2 linked regions of the Struthio camelus genome follow. The protein of the gene in region 1 interacts with the protein of each later gene in a biochemical or structural test. Links are inferred from orthologs where the notes say so. Each region holds a gene or a part of one and is shown in the gene's direction. Other genes may lie near its edges.

What was found.
Region 2: of the proteins of MAPK1 (region 1) and DUSP3, one has a biochemical effect on the other in vitro, tested with the Homo sapiens proteins (2 studies listed by BioGRID and IntAct). The link is inferred for Struthio camelus from reciprocal best matches to the Homo sapiens genes MAPK1 and DUSP3.

Annotation. Positions count from the first base shown.
Region 1 is NC_090958.1:10,423,843-10,430,783, forward strand, and holds the start of MAPK1 (mitogen-activated protein kinase 1), read left to right. Parts: upstream 1-3,921; 5' UTR 3,922-4,226; coding exon 4,227-4,369; intron 4,370-6,941. UniProt on the Homo sapiens protein: Serine/threonine kinase which acts as an essential component of the MAP kinase signal transduction pathway. MAPK1/ERK2 and MAPK3/ERK1 are the 2 MAPKs which play an important role in the MAPK/ERK cascade.
Region 2 is NC_090966.1:8,197,436-8,204,596, reverse strand, and holds the start of DUSP3 (dual specificity protein phosphatase 3), read left to right. Parts: upstream 1-4,107; 5' UTR 4,108-4,195; coding exon 4,196-4,317; intron 4,318-7,161. Other genes in the region: ras-related protein Rab-18-B, read right to left, coding at 887-959, 3,186-3,253, 3,768-3,823, 3,897-3,961. UniProt on the Homo sapiens protein: Shows activity both for tyrosine-protein phosphate and serine-protein phosphate, but displays a strong preference toward phosphotyrosines. Specifically dephosphorylates and inactivates ERK1 and ERK2.

The DNA of each region.
Region 1 (6,941 bases):
AATAATCTTTTGTGCTCCTCTTGGCATGCAGAAAACAAAAATACCAATCTGTTTACTAGTTGTAACTCCAAAATGTATAAGAAAGCCATTGTAAGCTTCCTGCAAAGTTAGTCAGAATGCTGGATGGGGGGAAAGGGAGGGGGAAACACTGGGAAAAACCCTGTAAGTTAGCTTTGTCATCAACTGACCAGTGATTTGGGCCTTGTTTTGTTAACTACCTGTGAAAGACTGAATAATGCCCTAATCGCCTTTTTTCCCTCCCGTACCTCCAACAGGAGGATGTTTTTAACTTCCCAACAGCATAAGATTACAGAGAGATTCTCATTTGTACTGAGGTCACTTTACACTGTCAAAGCAGTGGCCAACATTTAAATGAAAATCAGTCACAAGGGATTTTAGCTGTATGTCACCAGTTAAATCAAGCCCAGGTCGGTAGTGACTACGAGTTATTAGTATCTGATGCTCTTTATCAGTCTTAGGATGGTTCCCTGTGGATCAGAGCTCTCATATCTAAGTAATTTAAGTTTTTGTCACGTTCATCACCATGGTTCCTGAGTGACACAGAAGTTAAAATATGTCTTTATACAACATCTTCCATGTCTTACGTCTCTCTCTCTGTCTTCACCCCCACACAGAGGCTTGAGGTCTTTTTAAATAATGCTGGGAAAATCGTTTTACACACATAATATTTGCATTTTCTTTGGAGGATGAGAGGGTTCAGGGTCATTCCGAGGCTCTCGGAAAGTGAATGCCATAACCCGACAGCAGGGACCACGAAAGCGCTGTCTGGACTGCCCCTACACAAACAGCGTGACGATTGCAGTGATGATGGTTTTAGGAGAGGTAGCTTTAGTTCTAAATCAGCACAAAAAAAATGGAAAACCCTCCCACCCTCAGGAAAGAGTGACGCTCTAGGGCACCTACGTATCATTCCTGTTCTTTGCCTATATCTGATCACGCTGTTTCCAGGACTCATAGGGTCTTTCATAGCATGACATTTACTTTTCAAGAGAACTATTTACAGACCACAAAGTTAACAGTTAAAGTAGATATTTGTAACAGTACAGAGAATCTCTAGACCCTAACTGTACAATGAACTCATCCAAGTGACTCCTGAACTTGATATCATGATGGAGATAGATAGTCCAAACTGTCGCACATGTAAACTGACCTATTTTATAGCTTGGCTGGTTCCTCATACAGCTTTCAAACTGAAGATACTGCACTTCTGTTTGGACAGCTCTTCTTAGCAGTGGTTTTATTTCTGCTTGAGGCATGGAGACATTTTTTTCACCTGCTTTTTGTTATCTGCAATCATTTTACAGTAAGTATCACCTCTCCCCACAACATAACCCTTTATTCTGATCATGGAACTAATCATGTGCTTAAAACATATTTACATTCCTTGCAGAACCAAGGCTGTAATGTCACCTTGTCACCGTGTGAGGGAAAGACCCAGCATAAAGTGTAGGTAATAGCTGTGTATTTATAAAGGCTGAAAAGCAGTTGCTACCATTTCTATCTGGTCTGTCTAACTCAACAACTGTATTGCTACCTGGAACTACATACAACTAGGTTCTGTCACAAGAGGAACTGTTGGCAAAGCATGCCATAGCCTTTTGACCGCTTATTTGGGTTTAATTGGATTAGACATATATTTGAACACAGCACTCAAAGCAGTTGACAGTCTTTCCACAATTTCCTGGTCTGCTGGTTGGTTTCCTTTTTGATCTGACACATCCTGGTGAAGGTGGAAAATAATCTAGATATACACCAGTTTTTAATTAAATTTTGCTATGACAGGTTGTGTTTAAGCTAGCTTCTCTATAATCATTTGTTTTGCCTTTGCTGATGACATTTATTTATGTATGTAATCAGAACTGTAAGCATAATTTCATTTTTAGAGTTAAGAGAAGAACCTTTAAAATCATATTTTACTTACACAGTTTCAGAAAATTTAAACATTTATTCACCTCTACTGCTGTCTGCAATTTCTCAGAAAAATAATGTGGGTTTCCAAAGTGAAAAAAAAAGCACATTATGGAAAGGAAAGAGTATTATATACAAGGAAAAATAAAGCCATAACAAGTAATTTTAACTATCCCACATCGATACACAAAAACCAAGCCATATGATTTAATGTGTGATAAATAGAAGATGGATTTTTTTTTTTTCATTAGATTACGTTGGTCATCCAGGATAGCTTTCACTCCACCAAACATGCTGGGGCTGCATCTGAAACCCTGAAGCCTGCTGGGTAGGTCCATGCCAAAGGAGAGTCCTTAGGCTGCAGCTAGGCTAAGCCACTGCTCAGTTTAAACTGATAACTCTTTCCTTTTGACTTCTGCCGAAGCTTTGGGGGATGCTAATAAGTCGTAATCAGGAGGTTGTACAATATTTGTAACCAGCTACAGAAGACTGCAATTGTTTGGTCATGGTGATGGAAGCTGGTTTGCAGCAAGGAGTGACAGAAGGTGGGATGCAAGAAAAGAGCCTCTGGCAGTCCGACTTGCAGCTGGACTCGGGCAGTGGGGAGAAGCAAGACGGGGATCGCACACCCCGAAGGCAGAGAGAGAGACATGAAGCAGCACGGTCGGCAGTAGAAATGTCAACAGAAGTCTAGAGAGAGCAGCGGCAGAGCTGCGAGAAACGTTGAGAGAAGAAAGAGGGCAGAGCACAACCAGTGAGACCCTGACAGGAACTTGATCGGCACGTAACACCTTCTGGTTAAAGAAGAACACAAAATTAACAGCGACTTTTAAGAAAAGCATGAGTCAGGGGTAATGAGCTGATTTCACATTGGGGTCTTTCGACAGGGTAGGATGGGCATGAACATGGACACACTAGTGTGATGAGATATATGGAGATCTGTATGTGATTAATGCATTTTCAAAGGAACAGGAGAGACTATCTAAAACCATGCCAATAATAGTGAAAAATTAAGTAGCAAGTACAATTTTTTGCCTTAAAAAAACATGGAATGTAAGTATAGTGTTTACAGAATTGCAGAAAAAAATTCAGAAGCAAAGACTCTTGATGTTTTTGGTGAACCTAAAGAACATGGCAGGAAGAGGGAGCCTTGCAGGAAAACAGGAAAAATGGATATTGTTGCAAGCGACAATCATGGCATGATACAAACTATAACAAATTAAATCTTCACCTCCTGCTCAAAACCTCGAGTTTATTTACATTCATAGGGGAAACAAGTAATGGGAAAATATAATTGCATGTAAAAACCATATGCTAATTAGAGGTTGCAAAACTAAGCCCTGAAAAGTCAGAAAGCGTTAGAAATAAACTTGCCCTCCCTCCAGTAACCCAGCTCTCTGGCAGGATGTTAACCTTGCCCTGCGTGACATCAGGGGCTTGCGGCAGAGCCAAGGACAGAGCAGGGCCTGTTGGGCCTCAGATCAGCACCTTAAACGCAAGAGAAACCCCCTCTCCGCCCGCAGCTGACTGCTGCGCGGGGGGCAGCGTTGTCACAGGGAGCTGAAGAAAACAGAGCCCGGCTGCAAGGGCCGCAGGGAGCGCAGGCCTCGGCCCCAGGCTTCCGCCCCGCGTTTCCTCCGGGCCGTCCGTCAGCCAGCAGCGAGGCCGCCGGCCCGGCCCGGCGCTGACGGCCCTCGGCTCGCCCCGACAGCCCGGGCGCCGCCGAGCCTGGGCCTCAACGGGGCGCCCCGCGGACCCGGCCCGGCCCAGCCGGCCCCGTCCGAGGGCGGCCGGGTGCCATTTCCCGGGCCGCCGCCGCCACCTGACGCCTCTAATGGCGCCGGGCGGCCGCGCGGCTCCCGCAGAGCCGGCACGCCCACCACGTGACCCCGCCCCTCCCCCCGCGGCTGCGGCGGCGGCCGTTACCGCAGTGCCTGGGCCCCGCCCCTCCTCCTGCCCCGCCCCCCCGGGGCGCCTCCTGGCCCCGCCCCACCCCCGCGCGCGCGCGAGCTCCCCCTCCCTCCTCCCCTCCCCTCCCCTCCCCCCGGGCGCTGTGGGTGCGCGCGCGCGCCCGGCAGCGTCTCCTCACAGCGGCGGCGGCGCTGACGGGGGCTCGGAGCCGGCGGCCGGTGCTCCGGAGCGCGGCGGAGCCGGCGACGCCTCTTTTACTTCCCTCCACCCCCCCCTCCCCGCATCTCTTTCCTCGCCCCCCTCTTTCCTCCTCACCCCGCCTTCCTTCCCCCCGCCCCCCCCCCCCCCCCCCGCACGCAGTCACCGCGGTTCCCGGCACGGACAACATGGCGGCGGTGTCGGGGGCCGGGGCTGCGGGTGGCGCTGCCAACGCCGGGGGCCCGGAGATGGTGCGGGGCCAAGTGTTCGACGTGGGGCCGCGCTACACCAACCTCTCCTACATCGGCGAGGGGGCCTACGGCATGGTGTGGTGAGTGCCGGCCGCCGCGCCCCGCCGGGCCAGCGCCCTTGCCCTGCACAGCTCCCTCCCTGCCTGCCTCCCTCCCTGCCTGCCTGCCTTCCTCCCTCCGCCCCGCCGCCCTGCCCGGCCGCAGCCTCCCCGGGGGCTCGGCCGCGGGCTGCGTCCCGCCCTTGCGGGGGGCAGCGGCCCGTGCCTGGCCCTCGGGGGAGGGGAAGCTAGGCCTCCAGCATCCTTGCCTCTTTCCTCATCCCCGCTTTCCCCTTCGCGCTGCCGAGGTTGTCCCTCCGGCATCGCCCGTCCCCTCCCCGGCCGCCAACCCTCGGCTGCCGTCGCCTCTTCCCGCCCCCCCCCCCGCCAAAATTCCTGCACCGTGGGGTGCAGCTACGCGTCTCGTTTCCTTTCTGTCGTGTGCTCGTTATTTTTAATTTTTTTTTCCTCCTGCTTCTCAAGTTGCTTTTTCCCTTTCTTTTTTCTCTCCTTACAGTTATATTATAGACACTGAAAAAGGGGAGAAGGTCATAACATCATGCTAACAGCTCTGTTTTTTCCTTTGTGCCTGTGCTGCATGTTCCTAGGGTCATGGTTGATAAACAGAAAAAGTGAATCTGTGTATACGAATTGCTGTCCCTATCTGCCTTTTCTTTGGATGTGTTTGTTGACTGTTGCACAGCCTGCCAGATTATTGTCTAAATTAACATATATGAGAGATGAAAGTTCTCTTCAGCTCTTCCAGTTCTTGATTATTTTATATCATGAAGACTGGTGGTAAGCCTCACTAGAAAGCAGTAGTACACATTTGCTTTGGTTAGTATCACTCTTAAAAACCTAACCAGTGAACTATAAAATGCCTAAAATGTAAGCTACCTGGATTTAGAGTGTGAGATGGGTTTTCTTTTAGCAGCCTGCATGTGGTGGGCTGAGTCAAGATGATGCTCTGAGGTGGTATACCTAGTGACTGGGTTATAAAACTGACGTACTTTGTGACCTTAGTTACAATTCTTATTCTGTTTTTTACCATTAGCAAAACAGGATAAAGTGACTTAATTTGAATCCCTTGTTTCAAAAATAAAACTATTTTTTGTTATTTTATCAACTTTTTTCCAATGCTGCTTCTGTTTCATGTTCAGATTTGACCAGAAGTACTAAATGAAGTTTACAGGTTATGACTTGGTGAAAGCTATATTAGCGATAATGTCTCTCTCTGATGTTTAATCTTTTATAGTATAAACTAGTACACTTATCGGTGAAGGCTCTTCACAACATCCAAGTGTATGTTACAGATTTTACAGCTGTGATGGATTGTGCTGGCTTATTAAAATGAAGTCATCTTGTATTTCAGAATGGAAGCTTTCATTTAGGCCTGAATTTAGCTGGGAGATATGCCTGTATTTAAGTTTTGAATTGTGGCCTTCACTTTTTTAGCTGGGGGAAGAACCTTCAAAATGAAAATCAAAAATCCTGTTTATGGTGTAAAAATACCCCTGTTATCATTTTAGTGTTATAGATCACAGCAATATATCCACTCTAAAACTGACATTAATGTAGCTTATGGTACAAACCATATTTTACTGTGGTGCAAATCATCTGTGCTGGGACAACTAAGCCAGTGCACATAATCTCATTATTGACTGCGCTGGTTTACGCATGCAGTCTGATTTGGAATAGTACTTCCAAGATGTGTGTATAGTCCCGCTCATATCAATGGGATGTTAAAAATGGTAACACAGATGTTGTGTTAAAGCTAAAATGTTTCACCAATGATCAAAGATTACAAGAAGCAGTATGTTGGCAGTTGATGCCCTTTTTCGGCATCACTAGGTTGGTGAGCAGATATAGGGAAAATATGGCCCCTTCCCCCCCATCCAATGGTGTGTCATTAAGTTCTATTACTTAATATTTTATTAAGTTCTATCTCCAAGACTGGCTATGTAATGTTATTTTTTATTTAATAGCTCATTCTAGTGTTGTGGATTTTCTTATATTTTTTCGCTTTTTTTTTCTTTCTTTTTTTTTTTTTCTCTAGTATGATTGCTGTACACAGTTATTAACAAAAATAGAGACATACACATTTGGCTCCTGAGTTTTTTCCCTCTAAAGTTATTCATGTGAAATACTAGATTTGATATGTTGAGCTGTTAATTAATCATTGCTCTTCTGCCTTGGGTGTGAAATGACAGGGAACAAAGTCTCAGTTTGTATTGTATACTTGGTAAGTATTGGATTGCACATGTTCTAGCTAAATGCCATAGCAAATGTAATGTTTTGTAGTGCACAGCAGATGAGCTGCTACGATTAAATAAGATTACTTATTAATCAATGGAGGTATAGGTTATGTAGATTAATACTAAATGTTTCATGTCTTGCTTTGATTGTTAATGCAGTGAGGATCTGCAGAAGCCTCTCCCTTGTGAGGTGATTAGAGGGCAAGCTATGAGAGTAAAGATGGAGATATTCCCTGCAGCTGCAAAATCCATTTAAATCTGTACACTTTAATGAAGGAAAACAAAGCAAGCTCTGATGTTTTTGGTTTTTTAGACCCCCAGCTAATGCATGCAACTTCAGAGGATCTAGTTATTTTTAA
Region 2 (7,161 bases), on another chromosome or scaffold:
AGCAGTATTAAGGAACCACAAATAGATGCATCAACCATATGGTCTTCCCAGAGCTGGAACACATCAGCTACGCTCACCTGAAGTCACTAGGGATTACAGAACATGAGCATCTGTGTGACACATCTGTGATGGGAAAACCAGCTTAATAGCTGAGATCTTATACATGTTGCTAGATCTGAACAGGGCCACAAATTGTTTTGAAATAATTATTCTGTCTTCTCATTTAAAGCATATATACATGTATGCACTAGTGTTAAAAACAGTAGATTCCAAATGTCAGTAAAAAGTAACTTTTGGTCACTGGTAACTTCATAACTGCATTCAGGTAATCACTAAGGTTAAATAAAGCTGCAGGCTGCATCAGGGTCAGAAAGAACATTTTGTACAGCAAATTTTTTAGTCTTTACTGTCCCTGGAGAATAAGATTTTTTTTTTTTTAAATAATTGAGATTGTTGGACAGAATGGGACTAGCCATTCATTATTTGTGCTACAAACTTCATGTTTCATAGGAATCACATCAATAATGTTTCTGGAAAAAAAAAAAAAAGTAAAAATAGGGAAAAAATCCAAACTTGAAAACCAATTTGGCTTATGATCAGAAACTCGCCAAAGTAATTAGAATAAAGGTGATAATTCATCTACTCAATGGTTTGTAGTGTGACAGCTACATATTTTTTAATTTAAAATAGTTTGAAGACGCACTATGTCCTGCCAATAAATTCTGCACACTTAATGTTTGAGCTAGTGACGTAGAAGTGTTGTAAAAAACATAATATCTGTTCCTTTGATTCTCTCCATCTCCTTTGAGAAGAAACTTACATTTACTTAGTAATAAGGACTTCACAATTTTTTTGTAACCATGTTTCTCTTCCATATACCTCCTACCTAGAACAACCCCTTGAGCTCCTCGGTAATAACTGGGAGTCAGCGTTCTAAAGCGCTCTTGTCCTGCTGTGTCCTACAGGGGAAAAACCAAAGGTGTTTAGAAAAAAAAAAGGTAATTTAAATTACATGACATAAGCTAAACAAAATTAGCATTTTTCTGACTAATAACGACATGTAACAGCATAAGACAACAGAATGAGGGAAGCAGCCAGAAAACATTAGCTGCAGCACAACAGAAAATGGATAAAAGGGGTAGAAAAGAGTGGAGAAGACTTCATTAAAAGATGAAGTGATAAGCACAGACATCTGTACCATGAGTAAGATGAGGAAAGTCAATGCGACTCAAGAAACATATGTCAGAGACTCTTGCTGCAAGCTAAGAAGCTGCATTTAGTCAGTTTAACAGTCAGCTGAACTGAAAGAGGTGAGGAATCAGGGTTTTCCCAGTGACAGACACTGCAAGAAAGGAGAAATATAGAGATTCTAAAACCTCCCATTGCTCATCCACAGCAGGAAAGGAGAGCCTAGTTAGTAAGAACTATTTCAAGGCTGCTGAGATGTCAAGCAGATGAGAAATTTAAAATCAGTAATTTTGTTCAATCAGTACTACAGCATGCCATATTCACTCTCATGAAGCTTCTAAATAGCTCCTAGAGTACAATGTGAAATTCAAAATTCCCCAGAATGAACAAGAAGGAGGCAAAGGAATTGCACAAAGATCATTTTTACAAAAAATTCTCTCTTTATTTAAATATATGTACAGCTTACAGTAGATAGAAGAAAGAAATGGTTTAGTCTTTTTGTTAAAAGCACAGAATTGGAAATACACATCCTTAATTCACATCATCCTTACTAAGCAGACTGTACTCTTAGGTACCCACACACACTAGAATAATAAAGTAGAAGCCTCTCTTTGACACTCTGTATATGCATTTAAGTTTTTATTTAACATAGGATTAAAAAAAATAGTGCAATTGCACTAATTAGCACTATCTCCTGAAGCTGTTACACACTACAGCAAAAGCGCCTTTTCCAGCTATTCAACTTGGGCAGGTTCTGGCCTTGCTTTTCATTTCATAGCAAGACGACACACCCCTGTGTGATTATTAGACCAAATACTTATTTATTACTCTCAACAGAGCTTCTGCTTTGCGTGCAGCTTGCTCAGAATACAAGCAATATGTATGCTAACTACAGCAACTGTGACTTTATCATTCTTGCTCTGCATTCTGTACTCAAAGTGTAAGACTGAAAATAACAAAATAATATAAGTCTTGGCATTTATATTGCCTGCATTAATACCAACCTAAGACACATTTGTGCCTTCTTTCCAATAATCCAATTACCGACTTCAGAATAGCATATTCTTTCTCAGATACCCATGACCACATGCATAAAACTCCTTCTGGGGCTCAGTCTCTTTCAGTCCCTTTGGGAGAATTGAAGGAAGTCTCCTAGTCCCATTCCTCCCCACAATCCTCTCTATAGTTTGAGTGCTTTCTCTGTACATTTTCCATTTTAGTGTGTTCTCCTCTCTCCAATCTGTTTTAATAAATATGCCATTTAAAGATAAAAGAAATACTGCAGGTATTTTAGAATAGGACTATATCCATAGTTGTAATGGAGGTACTTCTGCTACGGTGTAGAGTGAGGGCTTTAATACTATTTTAAATAATCCTGGATACACAGCTGCAGTCTGGTTTCCAATCTCCAGGTGCTATAACATAGTACCCGGAAATTGAGGGCAAATACTCAAGTCTTCTGGAAAATTTGGCCCTTCAATAGATCATAAAATACATTTCTGTTTCCTTCATTTTAACCAAAATATCTAGAGGGTTTCTGGTTTGGCACACATAAAATTGGCTACACAGCCTCTGAAGGAGATCACGCAACTCAGTTCTCAAAATCTCTCTCCTTTGTGCCTTTTTCCTCTGTTATTTCCTCAACATGTGCGTTGTCTGTCTTGGGAACGCTTCTGGGTCATACGAAAGACCTGCCCTTCTCGCAAGGCCACATCTCCTCAAGCCTAAGACCTCACAGAGGATTTCAGAAACCCAGATGCGTAACTGCAGGAACGAGCAGGATCTCTGCTAGAATTCAGGGAAGTCCTCAAACCACAACATTCACGAATTTTTTGAAAGAACTTTGTCCATTCCTGCTGTATAATCATGGAAGACACCCACCCTATGCATGTTCGAACCATAAGCATATGCAGAAGACTTGTTTAAAAAGGGAGAAAAAAAAACAAAAAACATCCCACGTTCTTGAGATTTCCTTTTCTGTCCAGAACAAAACCTACCCATATTGCAAGCTGTACTGCACGGCCATCTACCACCATTCTCTTCACTTTAAAATCGACACCTATGACTCGAGAACAAGGGAAAGAATATCACGACGAGAATGTCGAGGGACCACCCGGACACCCACCGCCCGCTCCCCTCACGGCACCCGCCCTCCCCCTCACGGCGCCCGCCGCCCGCCCGCTCCCCCTCACCCGGCCCACACCCGCCCGCTCCCCCTCACGGCGCCCGGCGCCCGCTCTCTCCCTCACGCAGCCCGCTCCCCCTCACCCGGCCCACACCCGCCCTCCCCCTCACGGCGCCCGGCGCGCGCCCTCCCCCTCACGGCGCCCGCCCTCCCCCTCACGGCGCCCGCCCTCCCCCTCACGGCGCCCGCGCTCCCCCTCACGCAGCCCGCTCCCCCTCACGGCGCCCGCCCTCCCGCTCGCGGCGCCCACGCCCGCCCGCTCCTCCGCACGCAGCCCGCTCCCGCCAAGCACTGGCCCGAGCCCAGCTCCCCGCTCCGCTGCTCTCTCGTCGGCGGAACCCAAGCAAGCAGCAGCCGCAACGCCCCTCGCTCGGGGCCGGGCGGCCGCACTCACCGATAGTGGGCTTCAGGCACGGCTCAAAGGAGCCGTCGGTGAACCTGAGCAGGAGGCTGCGGGGGAAGAGCGAGAAGTCAGCCCGGCGCCGGGCGCGCCCCGCCCGCGCGCCCCGCGCCGCCGCCGCACCTGGACTTCCCCACAGCGCTGTCTCCGACCAGGAGCAGCTTCAGGGTGAGGCCCGCCGAGTCCATGCCCCGCGGGGCGAGCGTGCAGCCCGCCGGCTCGGGCGGATCGGGGCAACCAGAAGCGCCGCGCGGCCGTGGGGAAACTGCCGCTTCCTGGCGCCGGCGGCGGAACCAGCTGACGCGACTCCGCCCGCCGGGAGGCGGCCGGTGCCCGGCGGGGCGGGGCGGGGCGGGGCGGGCCCGGCCCGAGCTGCGGCGCCGCGGGGCCCTGCGCCTGGCCGGCAGGGAGCGGGCCCGGCCATGTCCGACTATCGGATCTCGGTGGAGGAGCTGAACGACCTCCTGGCTAACGGCAGCGGCTGCTACAGCCTGCCGAGCGCGCACAGCAACGAGGTGGTGCCGCGCATCCACGTGGGGAACGCGTGAGTGCGCCGCGCCGGGCCGGGCCGGGCGGTGGGCGAGGCCGGCGGCGGGTGCGTGAGCGCAGAGCTCGGAGCAGGGGGGGGCGAGGCCGCGCAGGGCTGTCTGGGGAGCAGCCTCCTGTGCGGGCGTTTGAGCCGGAGGAGGCCCGGCAGCGGGCGGGACGCCGGGCCTGCTGGGCCTGCGCGGCCCTGGGCAGCCGCCGGGCCGGGCTGGGGGCGGCGGCCGCGGCCTGGCCGGCGGGGCGGGAGGCTTCTGTCGGCGGGCGGCACGGCACAGCGCAGCGCAGCGCAGAGCGCCGCTCCTCAGCGGCGCCTGCCAGAACGCTCGCTAGCCTTTTGTCCTGCTCAAAACAGAACTGAAATAAGGTCAGAACAAATTAACTTGCTCCCCAGACTAAGCATGAAACACATCTCAGTTGTGTTAGCACTGGGCTTTTTTATTTTTTCCTCCCCCTTAATATTTCCTGCGCCTGCTAATTAGCGGTGGTCAGCACTGTTGGTTATCCACACAGAAAGGGAGTAGAGACAAGATGCTGTGAGGTGTATGTACAGCATCATCTGCTGAAGTCACGCCGCAGCACTTCTGTAATAAACGTATGTTAGGAGAGTGGAAGAAGCTGGAGCAAGGGGGGTAAGCATAGCAGCAACAGGGATATTAGAGCTCAGTTTAACCATGTGCAAAACTACTTGAAGGAAGCAAGACTTGAACAGGAGTCATCTGCCCCTATCAGCGATTGGTCAAATGAATCTGTGCACTCTGTGCCCTGCAAAACATCATACTAATTAAATAGTCATGCACATGATGGGAGCCAGAGGGATACAAATATGGCTGTGATAAAAGCCGTTATGTTCAAGGTTCAGCACTACCCCTTTTCTTTCTCAGATGTATTTTGTTTGAACATAAAAAAACACTTTTTCACTCTAAGGGTGGTTGAACACTGGAACAGGCTGCCCAGAGAGGTTGTGGAGTCTCCGTTCTTGGAGATTTTCAAAATCCAACTGGACACAGTCCTGGGCAACCCACTCTATGTGACCCTGCTTGAGCAGGGGAGTTGGACCCGATGATCTCCAGAGGTCCCTGCCAACCCCAACTATTCTATTTGTTGCACCAAGATTATGACTTCAGTTATGCGTTCCATTCCTATTATCTCTTGCTGATTCAGTTTCCCCTTCTGCATCTCTGTACACGTTCTCTCTGAAATTTGGCACTGTCTATTTGCAATGTGTGTAGTGTAGTGGATCCTTGAGCTCATTTGGAGCTTGTAATTACTAATGAAATGCAAGTCAAACCCATGGGTTTTCGTTAACTTCTGTACCAAACCAAACTCGACCTTTGTCACTACTGGTTGATGCAGGTCATGCTCATCTAGAGATAGGACCAAAATTATTATCTCGATGCCCAAGCTGACTTTTGACAGCCACCTTCTCCTCGATATTTTTAGCAGTTACCTGGAAGAAATAAAATCAAAGCCTACAAGGTCTGTAAATAGGTGATTTGTGCAGTTAAAAATAATTTTGATGGTAGTTTAGTACTGCAAAGTGGTTTTCGTTGTTCAGTAATTGGTTTTAATTAAACAGTTTGGATTTTAGTACAGTCAGAAGCAAGGTTGTCTAGGAACAGAGAATGCATGTGTAAGTTGCAGGATGAAAACGATTTACTGGAAAGCTTTACCTCCGAGAAGGGCTTTTTATCCAATAACTGTCAATCGAAAAAATCTTAAGCGCTAATGAAGTTTGGGGCAAAAGAACAGCTTAGCTGATAGTTGGTCTAGGGGCACATTAAACAAAGTCTGATTCTGCTGTTAGCGCTTTTGAAAAGATGCTGAAAAATTTGGGAGAACATCTGGAGATAAAAAATAATTTTGTGGACTGAAAAAGCTGTTTCACAATGGCAAACTGACAACATACTTAATTTATCAAGACTTAGTAGGCAATAATATTGTTGAAGCATCCACAGAGAGTTAAGAAAATAAAGAGCTCTAGCTGAACAGATGACTATGTATTAAGATTCAGTCGCTGAAGGCTGAACTTTGATAGTCTCAAGCTGGAAATAAGACTAATCTTAAATAGGATTTTTGTCCTAGATGGAGGTGTGGTTTACTCTAGTGTAACTAGCACTTGGTATATTAGTTGTCATTCTGAAAGAATTTGAAACTGTGCAGGTCTGTTCACATGTCTTTTCCAGCTGTTTGTCCCTCTTTTGCGTTCTCCTCACGTTAAGTTAAGGCTAAAGACAGGAGATCTGTTTCTCCGACTCGACTCCTTCCACTACAAACTACTGAAGAAGTGAGAATCTTTTTCACACACGGCCTCCCAGCCTTTGGGCATATGTGGGTCCAAGAGTGTACAATGCATGTTACTACTCTGTGCAAGAAATAAGCCACAGCCATGATTGGGCCCTGTATTTGCAGTTCGTTAGCCTGTCTTGTTCTGCTCTAGCATTTGCACAGAGCTTGGAGTCTATCTTGAATTTGAAGCTGTCTTGGTACAGTATGTGTCTGACTAGCACTCACCTCCCCAAAGTGACTGAAGAGTGAGCAGCTGCATGGATATTAAATGAACAGTGACCCACTCCAGCAGATCATGCTCCACCTGGTACATCTGTCATTTGTTATAAATCACTTTAACTTTTTTATGCATTCAATTATTCTTTAGGTTATGTTGTAAAGCATGTTGCTCTTCCTGGTGGGAATGTGCGTTGAGTGAAAATAAGCAGTTTGACCTCTGGACAGCATAGCTTGAAATAAGAAAGACTAAGATCGGAAATTATTCCCTGTCTAAATACAGCTCCCTGTGTAGCAGCCGGCAGTGCAGTATATGGGGTTCAGTAATTTTCTCCAGTGA